5 linked regions of the Canis lupus familiaris genome follow. The protein of the gene in region 1 purifies or fractionates together with the protein of each later gene. This does not show direct contact. Links are inferred from orthologs where the notes say so. Each region holds a gene or a part of one and is shown in the gene's direction. Other genes may lie near its edges.

What was found.
Region 2: the proteins of FIP1L1 (region 1) and CSTF2T purify together in Homo sapiens (co-immunoprecipitation; 3 studies listed by BioGRID and IntAct, with this or other methods). This does not show direct contact. The link is inferred for Canis lupus familiaris from reciprocal best matches to the Homo sapiens genes FIP1L1 and CSTF2T.
Region 3: the proteins of FIP1L1 (region 1) and CPSF2 purify together in Homo sapiens (affinity purification with mass spectrometry; 7 studies listed by BioGRID and IntAct, with this or other methods). This does not show direct contact. The link is inferred for Canis lupus familiaris from reciprocal best matches to the Homo sapiens genes FIP1L1 and CPSF2.
Region 4: the proteins of FIP1L1 (region 1) and P4HA2 purify together in Homo sapiens (co-immunoprecipitation; 3 studies listed by BioGRID and IntAct, with this or other methods). This does not show direct contact. The link is inferred for Canis lupus familiaris from reciprocal best matches to the Homo sapiens genes FIP1L1 and P4HA2.
Region 5: the proteins of FIP1L1 (region 1) and CPSF3 purify together in Homo sapiens (affinity purification with mass spectrometry; 5 studies listed by BioGRID and IntAct, with this or other methods). This does not show direct contact. The link is inferred for Canis lupus familiaris from reciprocal best matches to the Homo sapiens genes FIP1L1 and CPSF3.

Annotation. Positions count from the first base shown.
Region 1 is NC_049234.1:46,769,301-46,772,305, forward strand, and holds the end of FIP1L1 (pre-mRNA 3'-end-processing factor FIP1), read left to right. Parts: intron 1-1,150; coding exon 1,151-1,288; intron 1,289-1,902; coding exon 1,903-2,050; 3' UTR 2,051-2,499; downstream 2,500-3,005.
Region 2 is NC_049247.1:36,527,385-36,531,331, forward strand, and holds CSTF2T (cleavage stimulation factor subunit 2 tau variant), read left to right. Parts: upstream 1-1,146; 5' UTR 1,147-1,217; coding exon 1,218-3,116; 3' UTR 3,117-3,573; downstream 3,574-3,947. UniProt on the Homo sapiens protein: May play a significant role in AAUAAA-independent mRNA polyadenylation in germ cells. Directly involved in the binding to pre-mRNAs.
Region 3 is NC_049229.1:1,459,452-1,463,165, forward strand, and holds the end of CPSF2 (cleavage and polyadenylation specificity factor subunit 2), read left to right. Parts: intron 1-120; coding exon 121-255; intron 256-851; coding exon 852-944; 3' UTR 945-3,207; downstream 3,208-3,714. UniProt on the Homo sapiens protein: Component of the cleavage and polyadenylation specificity factor (CPSF) complex that play a key role in pre-mRNA 3'-end formation, recognizing the AAUAAA signal sequence and interacting with poly(A) polymerase and other factors to bring about cleavage and poly(A) addition.
Region 4 is NC_049232.1:20,539,136-20,543,403, reverse strand, and holds the start of P4HA2 (prolyl 4-hydroxylase subunit alpha-2), read left to right. Parts: upstream 1-1,466; 5' UTR 1,467-1,487; intron 1,488-4,268. UniProt on the Homo sapiens protein: Catalyzes the post-translational formation of 4-hydroxyproline in -Xaa-Pro-Gly- sequences in collagens and other proteins.
Region 5 is NC_049238.1:6,543,244-6,547,318, forward strand, and holds the start of CPSF3 (cleavage and polyadenylation specificity factor subunit 3), read left to right. Parts: upstream 1-1,274; 5' UTR 1,275-1,336; coding exon 1,337-1,485; intron 1,486-4,075. Other genes in the region: proline-rich protein 2-like, read left to right, coding at 292-1,212. UniProt on the Homo sapiens protein: Component of the cleavage and polyadenylation specificity factor (CPSF) complex that plays a key role in pre-mRNA 3'-end formation, recognizing the AAUAAA signal sequence and interacting with poly(A) polymerase and other factors to bring about cleavage and poly(A) addition.

The DNA of each region.
Region 1 (3,005 bases):
AGGCGTTGTTAGGTATAGCACTACTGAATCACTGCTTTTGGTAGGAGATGATAATTAAGCTTTCTCTTTTATATGGCTTCACCTGATATTGTATCCTGTCTTACTCAAATGTCTTAACATCATGATGCGTCATGCAGATTACTGACTTATATTAGATCTTTCCAGAAACCGAAGCTCTTTATTTCTGATAAATATTTATTTCTGAGTTTCTGATAGCAGGTTATGGAAATTGTTGACTTCTGTGCTGAAACACCCCCCCCCTCCAAAAAAAAAAAAGGCTTGAAGAATTAAGAGAAAGATGGAGAGAAGAATATAAGTGAAGAGACATGAAGAGAGGATAGATCTAGGGAGGTTTAAAGAAAAAAAAAGACTACCGTCTAATTCTAGCCATCAGTCCCTGTTTCGGCAGTTCATTCTATCCAAAATCAGGAAATGGAAGTGCAGCCTAGGTATATGCACTTGTTGCTGTCAGCCATGTGAATCCCCCCATCCCTAGCCACACACACATTCTCCTATAGTATGTCAGACTGTAAGTTTGTCCACGGGTAGTGTTTTGCCTGCATTTTGTGTGGATATTGTAGAAGTTGCTCTGCTGTCCCTGTCTTTATGTCTGTATCTATTCCTTAGAAGCATGTACTCTTCATGTGATTGAAAAACTTAAGCACCTTCATCTACTTTACACTCTCTAGCCATTGTGAATTGAATATTTTTATTATTTATAAAATCTTAAGCACACAAAGATTCTAAAAGAATTTTGGTTAGAAATCGAAGATATACAAACATGCTTTTAATTTTAAAAGGAATAAAAGAAGATGAGGCTGATTAAAATTTAAATCTGTTATAGCTCCCAGTTCTTGGAAGGAAAAAAAAAAACTGGTATATATAATTTCTACTCCGTAACAACTGAAAGCACAAAATAAAATTGGACTTCTAACGTGTAATTATTACATGTTTTATATTAGATGTAGTGCTAGTTGGGAATGGCATTGTTTTCTTCTCAAGTCAATAAATATTTTGCACCTATTCTGTATAAGATGCTAATAACAGTGTGAGGTCTTCTGGTTTGGACTCAGATCACATCCCTTGTAGTTTGAAGTTATTCAGAATTAAACAGTCCAGTTGTCATGAAAAGTTTTTATTCCAATTTCAGTGATGAAGAGCGATACAGATACAGGGAGTATGCAGAAAGAGGCTATGAGCGCCACAGAGCAAGTCGAGAGAAAGAAGAACGACACAGAGAAAGACGACACAGAGAGAAGGAGGAAACCAGACACAAGTCCTCTCGAAGGTTTGTTCTTTTATAGTGAATCACTTTGAAGCTCAGAGAAATTGATTTGACTGCAAAAAGTTAAAAACCTCTCCAAATAACTAGTAGAGCATATGTGTTCCTAATTGGAAGATTAAGAGTAATGTGTTGAAGTAGTTGGTTGCTTATAGGCTCATCAAAGATTTTTAAATCTAAAAAGACCTCATTTAGTACTCATGGACTTATTACTGTCTTGTTGGGAGAGGGGTTTATTTAGCCTATGAACCAGTAATACTAATATTTAAAGAAAAATCAGGGCCTCATAGTCTAAAATTGTATGCCTGTTGTTTGTTGGTTTAGGATCAGTTCTAGAAAGTATTTCCTGTTCCGATTTAGTGCTTCAGTTTCTAATTTGTAATAGTTTTTCAGGATAAAGTATATGGGCTCTGAGAATGTAGGATAATATCAGGTGCAGGTGAACCTATACTGTACATACAATCTCCATATAAAAGTCACATAACTGGTTACTCCTCAAAGTGTGTTTGAGAAAAAGAATTCATTTAAAACCCAGTGTTATATTGGGAATTCAACTTAGACATAGTAGGTTGATATTTCTTATCTCGTGTGTACTTAACACAACTTTTTTTCCTTTTCAGTAACAGTAGACGTCGCCATGAAAGTGAAGAAGGAGACAGTCACAGGAGACACAAGCACAAAAAATCTAAGAGAAGCAAAGAAGGAAAAGAAGCAGGCAGTGAGCCTGCCCCTGAACAGGAGAGCACTGAAGCTGCACCTGCTGAGTAGGCATGGCTATGGCCTGTTGTGTATATTAGGGCCAGAAATGTACCATAAATCTTGTTATTTTTCTGGATAATGTTTAAGAAATTTACTTTTAATCTTGTTCTGTTAGTATGAAAAGTTAACTTTTTTCTCAAAATAAAAGAGTAAATTTTTCATGTTAAGTTAAAAATCTTTGTCTTGTAATATTTAAAAAAATAAAGACAGCAATGACTTATATCCAAGAAAGTAATGTGAATGAGTCACTCAGCAGGGAATTTTAAAGAGCTATGTACACACACAGTATCTGATAAAGGTTAAGGTTTCACCTTGGCCATAGTTTTCTTGAGTTAATCAAATACCAGTCTCAAGAGGTTGCACTGCAAAAGGGCACCTCTGGGTCTTGAGATTAAAAGTAGTCTTTATCAATACTGCTGTGGCACTCTTGCTTATTGTATTAAAGTACTCGTATACAGTTTTGATATCACAACTTTTTGATAGGTTTTCAGTGTTCTTAATTTGGGTTCATGGTATAACTAAAGAGGGAACTTTTATATCCAAATTAGTAAAATCTAAAGGCATTTGGCTGGTGTCTGCAAAATAACTTGCCCTAAGGGTAGTTTTTATAGCAGGCACGTGGACAAACACGCGTCACTGTGACACAAACTTGAATTGTCTCATGGCTGTTTATGAGCTGGGGTCAAGCTGGTTTGGCCTTTCTTGATGCTTTTTCCAAAGCTCATTGGTTGAGCAGTATGTGGAGGTTTTATACAGTTACTAGCTAGTTGTGAAAGAAAAGACAAGAGCTTTAGATTAGTCCTTTCCTATTAAATCTAAGAATACACGTTTATAATTCTGTGAGCGTTTTTAGGGATAAGCCTTAGGATGTATTTGTCAGTGGTGGTAACAACATGGTTTTGAAAGAATGAATTACTAGGATCCTTTAAGTAGCGATAATTGAAATGAATTTAATGTCATATAC
Region 2 (3,947 bases), on another chromosome or scaffold:
CAGGTCGGGGAGCCCGGGGTCGGGGAGCAGCGTCAGCTCAGGGAGCACCGAGTGAGAAAGCATCACCAGCTAGGGGAGCACGGAGCTGGGGAGCACCGTCGGCCCAGGGAACCCCGGGTCAGGGAGCAGCATCAGGTCGGGGAGCCATCGAGTTGGGAGGCACCGTCAGGTCTGGGAGCCCCAGGTCTGGGAGCAACGTCAGGTCGGGGAGCCCGGGTCGGGGGAGCAGCGTCAGGTCGGGGAGCAGCGTCAGCCCAGGGAGCCCTGGTCGGGGGAGCAGCGTCAGGTCGGGGAGCCCCGGGTCGGGGAGCAGCGTCAGGTCGGGGAGCACCGGGTCGGGGGAGCAGCGTCAGGTCGGGGAGCCCGGGGTCGGGGAGCAGCGTCAGGTCGGGGAGCCCGGGTCGGGGAGCAGCGTCAGCTCTGGGAGCCCCGGGTCTGGGAGCCCCGTCGGGTCGGGGAGCAGCGTCAGCTCGGGGAGCACCAAGTCGGGGAGCAGCATCAGCCCAGGGAACCCCGGGTCAGGGAGCAGCGTCAGGTCGGGGAGCAGCGTCAGGTTGGGGAGCCAGGGTCGGGGAGCAGCGTCAGCCCAGGGAACCCCGGGTCGGGGAGCAGCGTCAGGTCGGGGAGCACCGGGTCGGGGAGCAGCGTCAGCTCTGGGAGCCCCGGGTCGGGGAGCCCCGTCGGGTCGGGGAGCCCCGTCCTGCAGAGCGAGCCGCCGCGCGTGCGGGAGCAAAGCCCGGCCCCGTGGGACGCCCACACTGGGTGCCCGCGACCTGGGCCGACCAGAGGCGGGCGCGGCCGGGGTCCGCCCCGCAGCAAACCGAGCGCACGCCCGGGGAGGGAGCGGGGAAGCCCCGGTCGGTGGGCGGTCTCCCGCGGGGCAAACGGCCTCCAGAGCGCCGTGACGTCGCGGCGACGTCCGCTCCCGGCGCCCACGGCGAAGCCGCTGCGGCCATCTTTACTGCGGTCAGCCCCCCCGGGGGCCGTTCCGGGCGGCCGCGGCGGCTCGCGGTGGGAAGCCTCCTCGCGAAAGGCGCGCGTCGGAGCGCACCGGCGGACGCACTCGCGGGGGCGGGCGGAACGATCGGGCCGCGCCTCGGCGGTTTCCGGGCGGACGCCGGCCGTCGGCTTCCGCTGCTCGGCGGAAGCGAGGCCGCCGAGGAGGAGGACGAGCGCCGGCCACCGCCGCGCCGCGCCGCGCCGGGCCGCCGGGAGCCATGTCGAGCCTGGCGGTGCGGGACCCGGCCATGGACCGGTCGCTGCGCTCCGTGTTCGTGGGGAACATCCCGTACGAGGCGACGGAGGAGCAGCTGAAGGACATCTTCTCGGAGGTGGGCTCGGTGGTGAGCTTCCGGCTGGTGTACGACCGCGAGACGGGCAAGCCCAAGGGCTACGGCTTCTGCGAGTACCAGGACCAGGAGACGGCGCTGAGCGCGATGCGCAACCTCAACGGGCGCGAGTTCAGCGGCCGCGCGCTGCGCGTGGACAACGCCGCGAGCGAGAAGAACAAGGAGGAGCTCAAGAGCCTGGGCCCCGCCGCGCCCGTCGTGGACTCGCCCTACGGCGACCCCATCGACCCCGAGGACGCGCCCGAGTCCATCACGCGCGCCGTGGCCAGCCTGCCGCCCGAGCAGATGTTCGAGCTCATGAAGCAGATGAAGCTGTGCGTGCAGAACAGCCACCAGGAAGCGCGCAGCATGCTGCTGCAGAACCCGCAGCTGGCCTACGCGCTGCTGCAGGCGCAGGTGGTCATGCGCATCATGGACCCCGACCTGGCGCTCAGGATCCTGCACCGCAAGGTCCACGTGACGCCGCTGCTGCCCGGCAAGGCGCAGCCCGGCCCCGGCCCCGGCCCCGGCCCCGGTCTCGGCCCCGGCCCCGGCCCCGGCCCCGGCCCCGCCGCCCCGGCCGTCCTGCTGGCCCAGCAGAGCCCCGCCGCCCCGCAGCCGCCGCACCTGGCGCGGAGGCCCGTGAAGGACATCCCCCCGCTGATGCAGACCCCGATCCAGGCCGGCATGCCGGCGCCGGGCCCCCTGCCCGCCGCGGGGCCGGGCCCCGGGCCCGCCGCGCTCCCCGCCGCGGGCGGCATGCAGCCGCAGGTGGGGATGCCCGGCGTGGGGCCCCTGGAGCGCGGCCAGGTGCAGATGGCCGACCCCAGGGCGCCCCTGCCGCGGGGGCCCATGGCCGCGGGGGGCCTCCCTCCTCGGGGGCTGCTGGGGGACGCCCCGAACGACCCCCGCGGGGGGACCCTGCTCTCGGTCACCGGGGAGGTGGAGCCCCGAGGCTACCTGGGCCCGCCCCTGCACCACGCGTCCGGCCACGCCAGAGACTCGCACGACCTGCGGGGCGGGCCCCTCGCCGACCCCAGACTGCTGATGGGAGAGCCCCGGGGGCCCATGATGGATCAGAGGGGGCTCCCCATGGATGGCAGAGGGAGCAGAGATTCTCGAGGGATGGAGACGGAAGTCCTAGAGACCAGAGTGCTGGAGAGAAGAGGGATGGAGACCTGTGCGATGGAAGCCAGAGGCATGGACGCGAGAGGGATGGAGATGCGGGGCCCCGGCCCCGGCCCCGGTTCCAGAGGCCCAATGACTGGGGGAATCCAGGGGCCCGGGCCCATTAACATGGGGGCGGGTGGTCCTCAGGGGCCCAGACAGGTGTCGGGCATTTCAGGGGTGGGAAATCCTGGAGCTGGCATGCAGGGGGCGGGCATGCAAGGAGGGGGCATGCAGGGGGCAGGCATGCAAGGAGGGGGCATGCAGGGAGCAGGCATGCAAGGAGGGGGCATGCAGGGGGCAGGCATGCAAGGAGGAGGCATGCAGGGGGCAGGCATGCAAGGAGGGGGCATACAGGGGGCAGGCATGCAAGGAGGAGGCATGCAGGGGGCAGGCATGCAAGCAGTGGGCATGCAGGGGGCAGGCAAGCAAGGTGGAGGCCAGCCTAGCAGTTTCAGTCCTGGGCAGAGCCAGGTAACTCCACAGGATCAGGAAAAGGCAGCTCTGATCATGCAGGTTCTTCAGCTGACTGCAGATCAGATTGCCATGCTGCCCCCCGAGCAGAGGCAGAGCATCCTGATCTTAAAGGAACAGATTCAGAAGTCTACTGGGGCTTCTTGAGCGGTGTCGGGAGATAACCGGCAGTGGTCTCCGAGTTTTCCTGTAGCATGGAGGGTGGATGCAGAAAGCCAACGTCTGCATCCCCACGCTCCAGTGATTAGGGTTTCCCTTCCTGATTTCATCTTGTCTTTTTATTTTCCTTTTGTTTTCCTTTTTAATGGGAGCGGGGGGGGGGGGGGCGCAGGGGGAGGCAGGATTGGGTCTGTTCACTTTTACTCACTGTATATACACAAGAATAACTCTGAACGTGGTTATACTACACGGAGTAAGATGACAAAGAACGCAGCAATACTGAGAGTGTCTACAATATGTTAAACTACATTTTTTGAATACCGAGTAAAACAATGTGAAAACTGCACATAAGGACTAAACTATTGACCTGTTAAAATGGTAACGTGCTAAAACAGTTTACGATTTTTGGTTGTGTAAGAAAATAAAGACGTTTACCTCAAAGTTATCAGATACATTTTTTTTTGGTAAGCCGTTTGAAATAGCAAATGCTATTTTGGGGACAGGAGATGGTTGTATTAGGTTAAGCATCGTTTTAGTGGAATTATTTAAAAATGTTGGTGCTAACAGGTTAAGTCTCAACTTGTGGTATTAGAACTGGATGGTGGGTTTTGTTTTTATTTTTGTTTTTTTTTTTTAGTTTGTTTTTTTGTTTTTTGTTTGTTTGTTTTTAAAGCTGTGCTACCTGAAAAATCCAGGAGTGCATGTGGTGTGACGTTGCGTGTATCCCGCCGTCCAGAGAGCAGCAGTATTCCGGCCTGGCCTTGAGCCTGACGGTTCTGCTGGGACGGCCCTAGGACGGGCCAGGGTCCCGAAGGCCGC
Region 3 (3,714 bases), on another chromosome or scaffold:
TAGAGGTCTTCAGGGAATGATAGAAAATATCTTAGAGATGTGTTACTGCACTTTATTCAGTACAACTGTATGTGTGGTGTCTTATTTGAAGTTCTTCTTTCCCCTTTATCCTTGTTTAAGGTTCCTGGACATCAGTCAGTTTTTATGAACGAACCAAGACTGTCAGACTTCAAACAAGTTCTTTTACGGGAGGGGATTCAAGCTGAATTTGTAGGAGGTGTGCTTGTTTGCAACAATCAAGTAGCGGTCCGTAGAGTAAGTGTGGTTTTTTTCTTTGTTTTGTTTTGTCTTTAGGATTTTATTTATTTATTCCTGAGAGACACAGAGAGAGAGAGGCAGAGAACAGGCAGAGGGAGAAGCAGGCTCCATGCAGGGAGCCTGACGTGGGATTCGATCCTGGGTCTCTGGGATCACGCCCTGGGCTGAAGGCGGTGCTAAACCTCTGAGCCACGTGGGCTGCCCGTAAATGTGTTTTTAATAAGGGGCAAAGTGAACAAATATTTCCTTCTGATGTGTTGCCATTTTGACTTCTGTGATTCTTGATCAGTAATTTCACAAACTGGAGACCGTAATTTATATTCATAATGATGACCTTAAAGGCTTATAAAAGTGACTCTTAAAGAAATAATGTATAATTTTACTGTAAATTTTTATTACTTGAATCTTGACATTTACATATCTATGTAAAATTCATGACTTGAATGTAATATCCTTATTTTGTGCTGAGCAACCCATTTCCAGACCAATCATCAAATAGTCGAGTTAATATATCTTGTTTATTATGTCTGCATATTAATAGCAAATATACTAAAGTTTGTTTTTTGTTTTTGTTTTTGTTTTTTACTTTCTAGACGGAAACTGGACGCATTGGATTAGAAGGCTGCCTTTGTCAAGATTTTTATAGGATAAGAGACCTTTTATATGAACAGTATGCCATTGTGTAAAGGACATGATGTCAGGAAGTATCTGTTTGACCTTTCTAAGAAAAAAGCGTTCTTATTCTAAGCTTTTGCTTTTTTGTCTTGTAACATACAGAAAGAATTGCCAGAAAAATTTAACATGCATTCGATTTTTTAAAAAATGTAAATAGAGTCCATTTTGCTAATGCTCAAATGAGCACTCCACATTTTAGCTTTCAGAGTGATAGAGATCCTAACAAGTGTGCAGGCCCAAGAATCGAAGGTGATTGGTTTTCTCTACAGACCCCTTGTTCTAGAAGGGCTTTTTACTTGAATAAAACAATGCAACTTAGCAAACCAGCTCATGGCCTTAGAGAAACATGTTTGCATGTTGTGAATTCTTGCAAACAGTTTCTTAAATTTTCTGGAATGAAAAGTGAGAATTATTGAGAAAAGATGTGCTATGTAAAAAAAAAAAAAAAAAAAAAAAAAAACTGAAGATACAGTTTTTTGAGGCCCGTGTGTTTAAAAAAGAAAAAACAAAGAGTATGTGCTCTAACTCTTCTTTTGAATTCTGATATGCAGTTGTCTTCACACATATCTCCTTACCCTACCTGTATTTCCCAGTTATTCAATCTAGTGGAAGGTGGTACATATTTCGTTCAGAAATCAATTTTTATTTCTCCTATTACTTTACCAAGATTTTGTTGTTCAGGTTGAATTACAACAACTAACATCATTTGAATATATGTAGTGCAAAAGAACTCCTGCTATTTTAGTCTTAAGGATTCTGTATACATGTTAGATACATCTTAGCTATCGCTAGGTTACTTCATTGAGAACTGTTTAGTGCTTTGTTTTTAAGGAAACAAATGTTGAACCTTATATTTTTATAAGGTGATAGTATAATTGAATCAAAAGGTGTAAATGTTTTCATCTCTTAGGCTTGCTCCCTCCTAAGGTTGCAGAAGCAATGGTTGGATTTTATACACCTTACTACAAAAATAATACTGAAGTTGTATAAGGTCATCCTTTCTGTGTTCCTGTCTTTCTTGGGGCTAGCGGCCCAAATACAGTATAAACCACTTGTGTTTAAGAGTAAAAACTGAATATATGCAATTTTCATTGAACTTAAAAATGAGAATCATGTTGCCCTATTATAATCTTGGATGCTTGTCTAGTGTGTAGCTTGATCATGGCAGTCCTTGATCTTTATTTCTCAAGTAATTAAGCCCTCTTTTTAATGCTTAGCATTTTTAGAAGGATCATTCCTGTTTAACTTATATGGAACTATACATAGTATAGTACTACCCAGTGATATCAGACTAGAATTAATATTTTATTCTCTTTCAAAGTTTATAAAGAATTTGTTGTGGATTATAGTGCTAATGCAAAGTTTCAGTCTTCTGATAGCAAAAATCAGATATGCAGAACACCATTACAGAAGGTGACGATAAAGAGTATGTTTTCTTTGTAGAGCTTTGAAAAAATTCAACTTAAAATCCTGTTACTGAAAAGAGTAAGCCTGGAATCCTATTTATATTCCAGGGGAAAGAAAGTCTGCATTTGTTATATGGCTTGAAGCATCTGGTTATACAGATTACATTGCGATACTGATATTGAAAAATTATTTCTCACTTAGCCTTTTTATTGTCCTATGAACAGGAATTAAATTTTAAAGTGCTGCTTGAAGATGGCTGTGCTAACTAATGTCATTGCAAGAGCAATACTTTGTCCTGTTTATTGATGGCAGGATTACTAAAATTTCTAAAATGAAGACATTTCTTTAGCCTTAGTTACTTAAAAATATACATTTAAAAAAGGCTATAAAATAAATCATGAACTCAGAGGAACTTTCAGATTTTGTTTAGAGGCAAAATAAATACAAGTGGACCATCAGCTGATTATAAATAATTTGGTCAAAAAAATTTATTGTAGTATTTGTTACAATGAATTATAAATGTCAAGTATTGTTGAAAATTATTGTTTTTATGAACCAGTAGGTGGTCTGAAATAGAAGTGAGGAAATCAATTTTCTAAGAGGGCCTTTTTAAAAAAAATTTGAAATTCATATACCATAAAATTCACTCTTTTAAAGTATATAATTCATTAGCTTTTAGTATATTTAAAGTAGTGCAACCATTACCACTCTCATTCCAGAATATTTTCATCCCCCCAAAAAGACACTCTGCCAATTAGCAGTTATTTTCCATTCCCTTCACCCCAGTCCCAAGCAACCATCAATCTATTTTCTGTCTATATGGATTTGCCTATTCTGAATATTTCATAAAAATGAAATCATACAATATGTGGCCTTTTGTGTCTGACTTCTTTCACTTAGTATGATATTTTCAAGATCCATTGATACTGTAGCATGTGTCAGCACTCTTTATGTGGTTGAATAATATTCCAGTGTGTGTATATACCACATTTTGTTTATCCACTCATCAGTTGATAGACATTTGGGTTTTTTCAATTTTTGTCTAGTATAAATGATGCTGCCATGAACATTCCTATACAAGTTTTTTGTGTGAATGTAGGTTTTCAGTTTTGGGGGAACATATTCCTAAGAGGAGAATTGCTGGATAATACAATAACTCTTTTGAGAAACTGTCAGTTTTCCAAACCTTATTTCCAAAGTGCCAATGCTATATTACATTCCCACTAGCAGGATGTGAGGATTCCAATTTCTGCACATCCTTGGCAACACTTGTTTCCTACCCTATTTTTTATTTTAATCGTCCTAGTGTGTGTGAAGAGGTATTTCATGGTTTTGATTTGCATTTTCTTAATGACTAATGATGTTGAGCATCTT
Region 4 (4,268 bases), on another chromosome or scaffold:
CTACCCCCCACCTCAGCCTTTGGTTGGTCCGCTTCTCATCAACCCATCACCCGTAAGTACGTCACCAGGAGGAGTGCCTGACACTGGAGCTGGGGACGGACAGAAACCCTTGGGGGAGCTTGGTCCTGTGGGGAGGACCCCAGGTCCCCCGTATTTTTCAAGGTCTTCTCCACTGGTCTGTCGATTGCACGGACGCCCGGGCCCCGGCCCCCCGGGGGGCCCCACCCCGCCCTGTAACTCGGGAGTGGTGACGATGGGGAGGGGCTGCAGGAGCCAGTGCCCGGCAGGACCCCCAGAAGATGCGCAGGAGCCCCGGCCGGGAGTCCCCACCGCGCGGGCGCTTCTGCAGCAGCGGGGAGGCAGGGAGGCAGGGAGGCAGGGAGGGCCGAGGCCCGCAGGTGGAGCGGGGCGAGGGGAGGCGGGCGCCGAGTACGTGCGGCGAGCTGCCGGCGGCATGAAGGGCGGGGAGCGGCTCCCGCCGGCCCGCAGCCTGCTCCCGGCCCCGGCCCCGGCCCCGGCCCCGACCCCGACGCGCGCGGCTGTCCGCCCCCCTTGCCCCCCCCCCCCCCCACCGGGCGGCTGGCGGGGACCACCCCGGCCGAGGCTGCCAGGGCGCGGAGCCGGGGCAGGGGCCGCCCGGCGTGCTGGGGGGGCGGGAGGTGGGGACGTGGCGACGGCTCAAGCGGGCGGGGCCGGGCCGCGGCGGGAGGCGGAGCCGCGGGGGAGGAGGCGCCGAGCGGGCCGGGCCGCCGCGGGAGGTTCTGGAGCCGCCGGGAGCCGCGCGTGTCCAGGTGAGCGCCCCGCCCGCGCGGCCCGGGGCCCCGGCTGAGCTCGGACGCTGGCGGGGCGGCGGGGAGCTGGGGGCCGGGGGCGTTCAGTGCGGCCGCAGCCCGGAGCCCGCAGCCCGGAGCCCGCAGCCCGGAGCCCGCCGCCCGCAGCCCGCCGCCCGCCGCCCTGGTTCTCCTCCCGCCTGGGTTCCTGCCCCGCCGCCTGCGGGCCCTCCCCGAGCTCGGGGCGGTGAGGTCAGCGGCGCCCTTCCTGCCGGTCCCTCGGCGGCCGGGCCGGGCCGGGCGGGGCGGGGCGGGGCACTCGGCCGCCCGGGCTCGGCAGGCTCCCCGGGAACGCGACGGGCGGCCGGGCCCCGAGGGCGGCCAGAGGTTGGCGGCGGAGGCGGGGCCGTCGGCCGGACCCCGGGGCCGCTGGGCGTGAGCGCGGGCCGCCTTGCTCCCCCGAGGGCCGGAGCCCCTGGCCCCGCGGGGTGCGCCTTGGTGCCCAGGAAACGGGCTGTTGGTTGAGAAACTTTTTTCCGCCCCTCTAGACGTCCCTTTCCAACGTGCGTTGTTTTTCCTTAGCAGCTGGGCTGACCTGTGGTAACAAGTTAACGAATTCAAATAACGACGCCTTCTGTGTGTCGCGCAGCGAGGAGTTGCTAGCCCAGCGGGGCGGACGGATTGAAGACTGGGAAAGTCCAGATCCAGAACAGTGTGGTGAGTGCTGTGCTGGGAGGGAGTACCAGGCTGTGGCTCTTTGGTAGAGGACAGGATGCTTCAGGCCAGAGGGCTTCCTGGAGGAGGTGGAATGGTCAGAGGAAGGCTAAAGAAGGGTAACCTGGACAGAGCAACGGTGTGTGTGAGTGGGAGCAGACCGGGGCACTCCAGTAGAGGTAAGGCGTTGAGGAAGGGACATTTAAGGGGGTAGCTGCCAGGTGGACCCTATGCGCTACAGTTTCAAGTGAGTACTAGGCAGTGCCTAGTACTGTGCTGTGCATGTGAGTGCTGCTCAGCAGGCGCACAGATCAGGGCACTTCCTACTTCGGGACAGTTGGGCCCCTGGCCTTGTATTCTAATGTGACATCTTTAAGATGGTGTAGCACATTAGTGTGCCTCCCAAGACTGAGACTGGTGTTTCTGCTGGAGAGTGCCAGTTAAAGCTTGTGTCGCCACCGCGGCCTCCTCCTCCTCCTCTTCTTCAAGATTTTATTTATTTATTCATGAGAACACACAGAGAGAGGCAGAGACATAGAAGGAGAAGGAGGCTCCCCCACAGGGAGCTGATGTAGGACTCCATCCCAGGACATCCAGGATCACGACCTGAGTCAAAGGCAGATACTCAACCACTGAACCACCCAGGTGCCCCAAGCTTGTGCTTCTTACTATAAACCCTTTGAAGCCTGAGAGCCTTAGCCTTCTTGCAGGAGATGCTGGTTCTGAGAGCAAGGGTTGGGGGACATCATTTTGTAGCTGAGAGCATTCTCACCTGTCCCAGATTTTGCCAAAATCCGCTGTCCACCTAAGAATTTGTAGAATGTTTTTGCAAGCTGCTGCTGCAAAAACACATATGGAACAACAGGTTCCATGATTTACTCCTCTGTTCAATGAGCCACGATTTCCTTTGGCTGATGTTTAAACTGCCCCTGAAGTGTCCAGGGTGCAGCCTCTCATTGTGATTCTGGGACTCAGAGCCCAGCTTCTTCTGTTCATTTCAACATACTCACAGGAGCGTGCTTTGAATCCTTTTTTCTTCTAGGTTTTTTTTTCGTATTCTCAGATGGCCAAGTATGTCCACTGTGCATCCCCAGCCAAGGAGGCCACGTAGCAAGGATGGAGTGAGTTGGCTGGCGGCCTCATCCCAGAGATGATGTCTTATTGGGCCACCCTCATTCTCCAAGAGCTCAGTAGACAGACATGATGACAACTAGGCATTGCCTGTGACTTGTGATAGACCCTTTTACCCAGTAGGAGTTTCTGAAATGGGGTGCCTGGGAGAATGCTTACTTAGCCACTGCTATAACTCGTACACAGCTGATCTCTCTTCATTCCTTGAGTACCTACCCTGTGCCTGGCTTCTACTTGGAGCGTGCCTAGGGGTAGAATTAGGAGGGAGAGGAGAAGGAGGTGGTATTGACGCTATCCTTGCTGGTGGGTAGCTCATAATCTGCCTGAGATTGCTGCTTCAAGTTGGCAGCTGGCCATGTGGCAGAGGAAGAGCTCAGAGAGTGAATATTCATCAGAAGGAGAGACTGTGTGGGTGCAGCCCTGAGGAATGACTAGGATGAGGGAATCTGGGATCTACTCATTTCCTGACAGAGCCTCACTTTTACTCTGCCCTCCCACATCCATGGGAGGTTCTGAGGCTGGATGCAAGACCTTGGCTGATTTGTGGCCACGCTGGCTGATAGTACATTGGGTTGGTGGGTGTGTCCCTGGCTCTTGGGATCTGTCAAGAGTTTAATTTTATGCAGATGGTGATTGGCAGGAAATGCTGTGATGCAGGCACGTGCAAGCCTAGACAGAATGCTAGAGCGAGAGTTAAACTTCGATTGCTTGAATCTGGCAGTTTGGACTTTCGAAGTGTCCCAGAGTGGGACATCAGCCTGTCTTAGAGGGAGAGGGCTAGTGGCGCCTGTGGTCTCTGGGGTTTTTGCTGGGGATATGGAATGAAGGATATAGTTTTTATTCTCAGAAGGGGTGGAGGGAAATGAAAAATCTGGACTAGACTTCTTGAAGCCTTAGAAGAGAGTTTTTGTTCAAATGGTGTCATTGCCAGCCAGAGGATTAAGTATTTGGGTAGTGAATTCTCCAGCTCAGATTGGATCTGTCTGAGCTTGTTCACAGTCCAGTACCTGCTTTAGCCCTTTTAGGAAGTGCTTGCTGGAGTATAGTTTGCTTTGTACCTGGCACTTCTGAGGACCAGGGTGTGGCTGAGATCCTGAGCTGAGGCCTGGTACTTGTAGGAACTTGGAACCAATACGTCAGAGGCATAGAAATACAAGAGATCCTAGAGTATTAGTCCAATCCCCTGCCTTTTACTGGAGAACTTTCTTTCCTTGATGAGCTATAGAGCCAGTGATTGACCTCTTCCAGAGTTATTTTCCTGATGATCAATGTGCTGCATTATACCTGACTCTGCTCTCTCCTAAAGTAATATTTCATTTCTTTTGGTCCTTGTGGGATGTGGAGATTGCCCAATATCTGCCTTGTTTTCATCTTCACTGTCCCCTAGACTGGACTGTATTCATTTCCAGGGATTAGCCAGGCAGCTGGCCACTTAAGGTCTACTGGTGTAACTCTAGTACCCTTGGTGCTGATATGTGGTATAAGTGTGCTTGATGGTAGGCTGCACACTGATAATTGTCATCTCATTCAGTCCTCACTGTGAGGTATAGGTCCTAATGTTATCACCATTATATAGATGGGAAACAGGCTCAGAGAGATCTGGAACTTGTGTAAAGTCACAAAGCTAGGAAGTGATGGTAGAGCTGAGATTGA
Region 5 (4,075 bases), on another chromosome or scaffold:
CTGTCTGCGTGCCCTTACACCTTTTATTCATTCAGCTAACTTTACTCACCTCTCAAGACTCAGTCCAGGCTGCTTCTTTACCAGAAAGCCTGGGCTGGACCTCTCCAGGTTGGGCTAAGGGCCCATGCTCCGCAGCCTGAGCATACACCTTGATCTCAGCATCCGCCTACTTAGAACCACCTCCCCCCCAGCTCCTCAAAGACAGGGCTAGGTCCTGCATCTCGGTGCACCCAATGCCTGGCACGGGCTGGCGGAGGGCATGCTTAATGAACCAAAGAACCTTCTGGGAAGATGACATCCAAGAACCCTCCTGTCCTGAACACCTGCCGTGCGCCGTCCAGTGCCGGGTGCTGTGTGTGCCTGCAACCCGCGCTAGAGACCAGCAAGGCTGCAGTATTACAGCCCCTTTCAAAGGAAGAAGCCACAACTCGAGGGGACTCGGCTGAGGCCGCGGGGCTAATCGCGGGTGGGGCCGAGGTCGGAACCCGAGACAGCCGGGCCCACGCTCTCCCCAGACCGCACCGGGCCTCCCGCGCCTGTCGCGCGGCTGAGCGGCGCCTGCCAGGTGCAGGTGCAGGTGCGCACGGCGACAGCGGACCCGACACCGGCGCCCCCCGCCCGGCGCGGTGGGGGAGGGGCGGCAGGGGGACACCCCCGCGGGGGCCGGCGCGGAGGGGCGGTGCTCCTCTCCGCCCCAGAAAGCAGAGCCCGACTCGCGAAGCCGCCCCGCGGCAGACGGGACCGATGCACCCCGACACCTGTCGTCACGGGCGCTGCAGTCCCAGCCCGAGCTGGGGTCGGGCACCGGGGCGGGGACGGGGGCACCGCATCCTCCCACAGGCCCCGGCCCGCTCCTCGGCCCCGCCGCCCGCCCCGCGCCGCCTCCGGGCCCGGGTCCCCGACCCCGGGAGGACGGGACCCCGCGGCCCCCGCCGCCCCACCCATCCGCCCCACCGCGGGCCTTCCCGCCAACGCCGCCCCAGCTCCCGCGTTCCCGGCCAGGCTCAGCCCGGGTTCGGCCACGGCTCGGCTCTCACCTCGCAGCCGCCGGCCCGCCCCTGGGGCCGCCTGCGACCCAGGTCAGACCCCCACCGACCCGGGAACCGACGCCGGGGCAGCCACTCCAGTTCTAATCCAGCGCCAGCTTTTCCGGCGCCCCCGGCCCCGCCCGCCGAGCCCCGCCTCCGAGACACCGCGCAGGCGCACACGTGACCCCGCCCCGGTTTCCGGACTCCGCTGGGGGAGGAGCCTCGCGACCCGGGTTCCGCGGCCGGAAGTCGAGGGGCGGAGCCTGGTGTCGCGGGCGCCGGAGTGCCGGAAGTTGTGCTCTTGGTGGATGGGGTTTTCTACCTCAGGTTCCCCGTGGCTCTGCTTTCTGTTTACGCAGACTCGCGCCGCCTGCTCCTCACCCCCGCTTCGCCGTCAGATTTCGGAGATGTCTGCGATTCCCGCCGAGGAAAGTGACCAGCTGCTGATCCGACCCCTGTAAGGGCCCAGCGCGAGAGGGAGTGAAGCTGGGAGCAGTGAGAGGCAGGCGCGGCGGCCGGAGGGTCGGCCTCGCCCCCCTCCTCGCGGTCGCCCCCCCGTCGCGGTCGCCCCCCCGGTCGTCCCCTCGCCCGCAGGCCTCAGGAGCCGCCCCTTGCTCCGCCGCTGCGGGCCGGGCCTCTCAGGCTGAAGGGGTTCGGAGAAACGTGGGTCGGAACGGGTCTGCTGGGTTGAGCGGGACGTGGCTTTTCTTCGATCTCAGGGCAGAGGATGTTGGGGTTGGCGGCGGGAAAGAATGGCTTTGGGCCTCTGGGCGCTTTCCTCGGTGCTAGAGTGGAAGCGCTGGGGGAAGCGGTGCTGCTGGCGGCGGCGGGATGACAGGAGGACCCGGATTAGGCTGTGGCGGCGCGAAGCAGAACTAAAGCTGTTTATTGTTTCCTCCAGGACTTGACATTTGCCAAGACGGGAAAGAGGAAATCCATTAGCTGTATGAGTTTTGAGGTCCAGACTTCAGACCCTAGCAGAATAAGGAAGGTAGACGGAGAGGAGAAAGAGCGGAGATGTTGACAGAAATTCAGCCCGCGTTTGTCCGTGGGAGGGCTCGTCTTTCAGTGGAGGTGGCGGTCTGCCGGAGAAACACTCTCTCCAGATCCGGAAAGCAGACCTGTGGAGAAAATTCTTTTTCCAGAAAGAAAGCCTGTCGTCACTCCCATCCCCCCCCCCTTTTCCTGTAGGCGAGCAATTTGAATTCACAAACACATGTAGATAGGAGTCAACGTCACCTTAACCTGTGCTTTTTTTTTTTTTTCCTCAAAAGGTGGGCAGTATCTACACATCCATCAGTAGGGCCTAGTTGAGCACCTGCTGGGGACATAACACAAGTTTCCACCACTCATCTCGCGCTCACCCTCTCTTCCTGTGGGCAGCAAACACTGAGCAAGTGTCAAGCGTGGCACTGGGCACTGGAGATGCACCTAAGAGAGCGCCGAGTTAACTGAATTCACCCTTTTGGAAGGAATTGCAGATCAAAGTGAGAAGTTCCGGAGAGATAGTTTAGAATAATAGGAGACCCTTACTTGGGGGTCAGACGTGGAATTCAGTCCCTGCTCTGTCACTTCCTGGCAGCAACTTCACTGAACCCATTTCTTCATGTGAAAATAATATAGCCACACTTACTTTGAAGATCATAGAAGGTGCTCAGTAAATGGAATGTTAGAAGAAAACAGAGAGGCACACACTCTAGCAAATTAAGAAGAGAAAGCTAACAGCTGCATCCTGGGAAATAGAATGGGTGAGCTGAGCCCTAAAGGATAAATAGGAACTAAAAATAGTGTAGGGCAAGGGTGTTCCAGGCAGCAGTAGTGGCACATGTGAAGAGAGTGGTCGTAGTTGTGGCCAGTTTCCTCATGGCTGTGACTGAAAGATGAGCAGATGAGGTGGGAAAGGGACCCAGGGACCGGCTTGTATACCTACTAAGGAGTTTGGGCACTTTTCACGCCGGTTCTAGAGAGCCAATGAACGGTTTAAGCATCCATGAGATACAGTGGGAGCTGTGTTTAGGAAGATCACTCCTATCAGCAGGGTAAGCAGATGAATAAGAGTGGATTCAGTGGAGAGAATCCAGGAGGATGGAATTGAAATAATCCCAGTAAAAAGCAGTGAGAGCTTGGAATGAATGAAATGAAAGTTGAGTTGGAAAGAAGTAGGTTTCAGAGAGTAAGGAATTGAAATCTTTACAGTTTCGTAGCTCATCAGATGTACTGGAAGGGGCAGCTGTGGAGAGGAGTGTAAGGATGTCTTGGATTTCTAGATGGAGCAACTGGTAAACGATCATGGAATTCACTCGAGTTAGGGAGCTGGGGCAGATTTGGAATAAATTTGGGAATTCTCTTGTTTTATAACAGCTTTATTGAAATATAATTCACATACCATACAACCCATTGAAAGTGTACAATTCAGTGGTTTCTAGTATATTCACAGAGTTGTACAACCATCACTACTGTTTAATTCCACAACATTTTTGTCCTTCCAGAAAGAAAGCCTGTCACTCCCATTTCCCCCAACATCCCCAGTCCCTGGCCACTACTAATTTTCCTTCTCTACAGATTTGCCTATTCTGGACATTTCACTTAAATAAGGTCATATAATATGCAACCTTTTATGACCAATTTCAGTTTCTTTTACTTAGCATAATGTTTCCAAGGTTAAAATTTAGAGGAGTTTTTAGGCACTTGGGAAGTATTTGTTGAGATTGAGTGCATCTCAGGTACTGCAGCTAAATAATGAACAAAATAGACAATGCCTGTGCTCATATGGAGCCTTCATTTTCATGGTGAGAAACTATAAATAGGTAGAGTAACTTCATGTAGTTATGTTACGATAAAGTTGGTGAAGGGCAAATGAAAAGAGGGGTCAGAAGGAGGCCTTCGCAGGTGGCATTTGGACTGAAACCCAAAGGATACAAAGAAGCCAACCATGTCAGTATCTGAGGGATAATCCAGGAGAAAAGCAAGTACAAGGGGTTTGAGGTGAAAATGAGTTTGGCGCATTTGAATTTAAGGTGTCTGTGTGCTAGCCCAGGAGAGACACC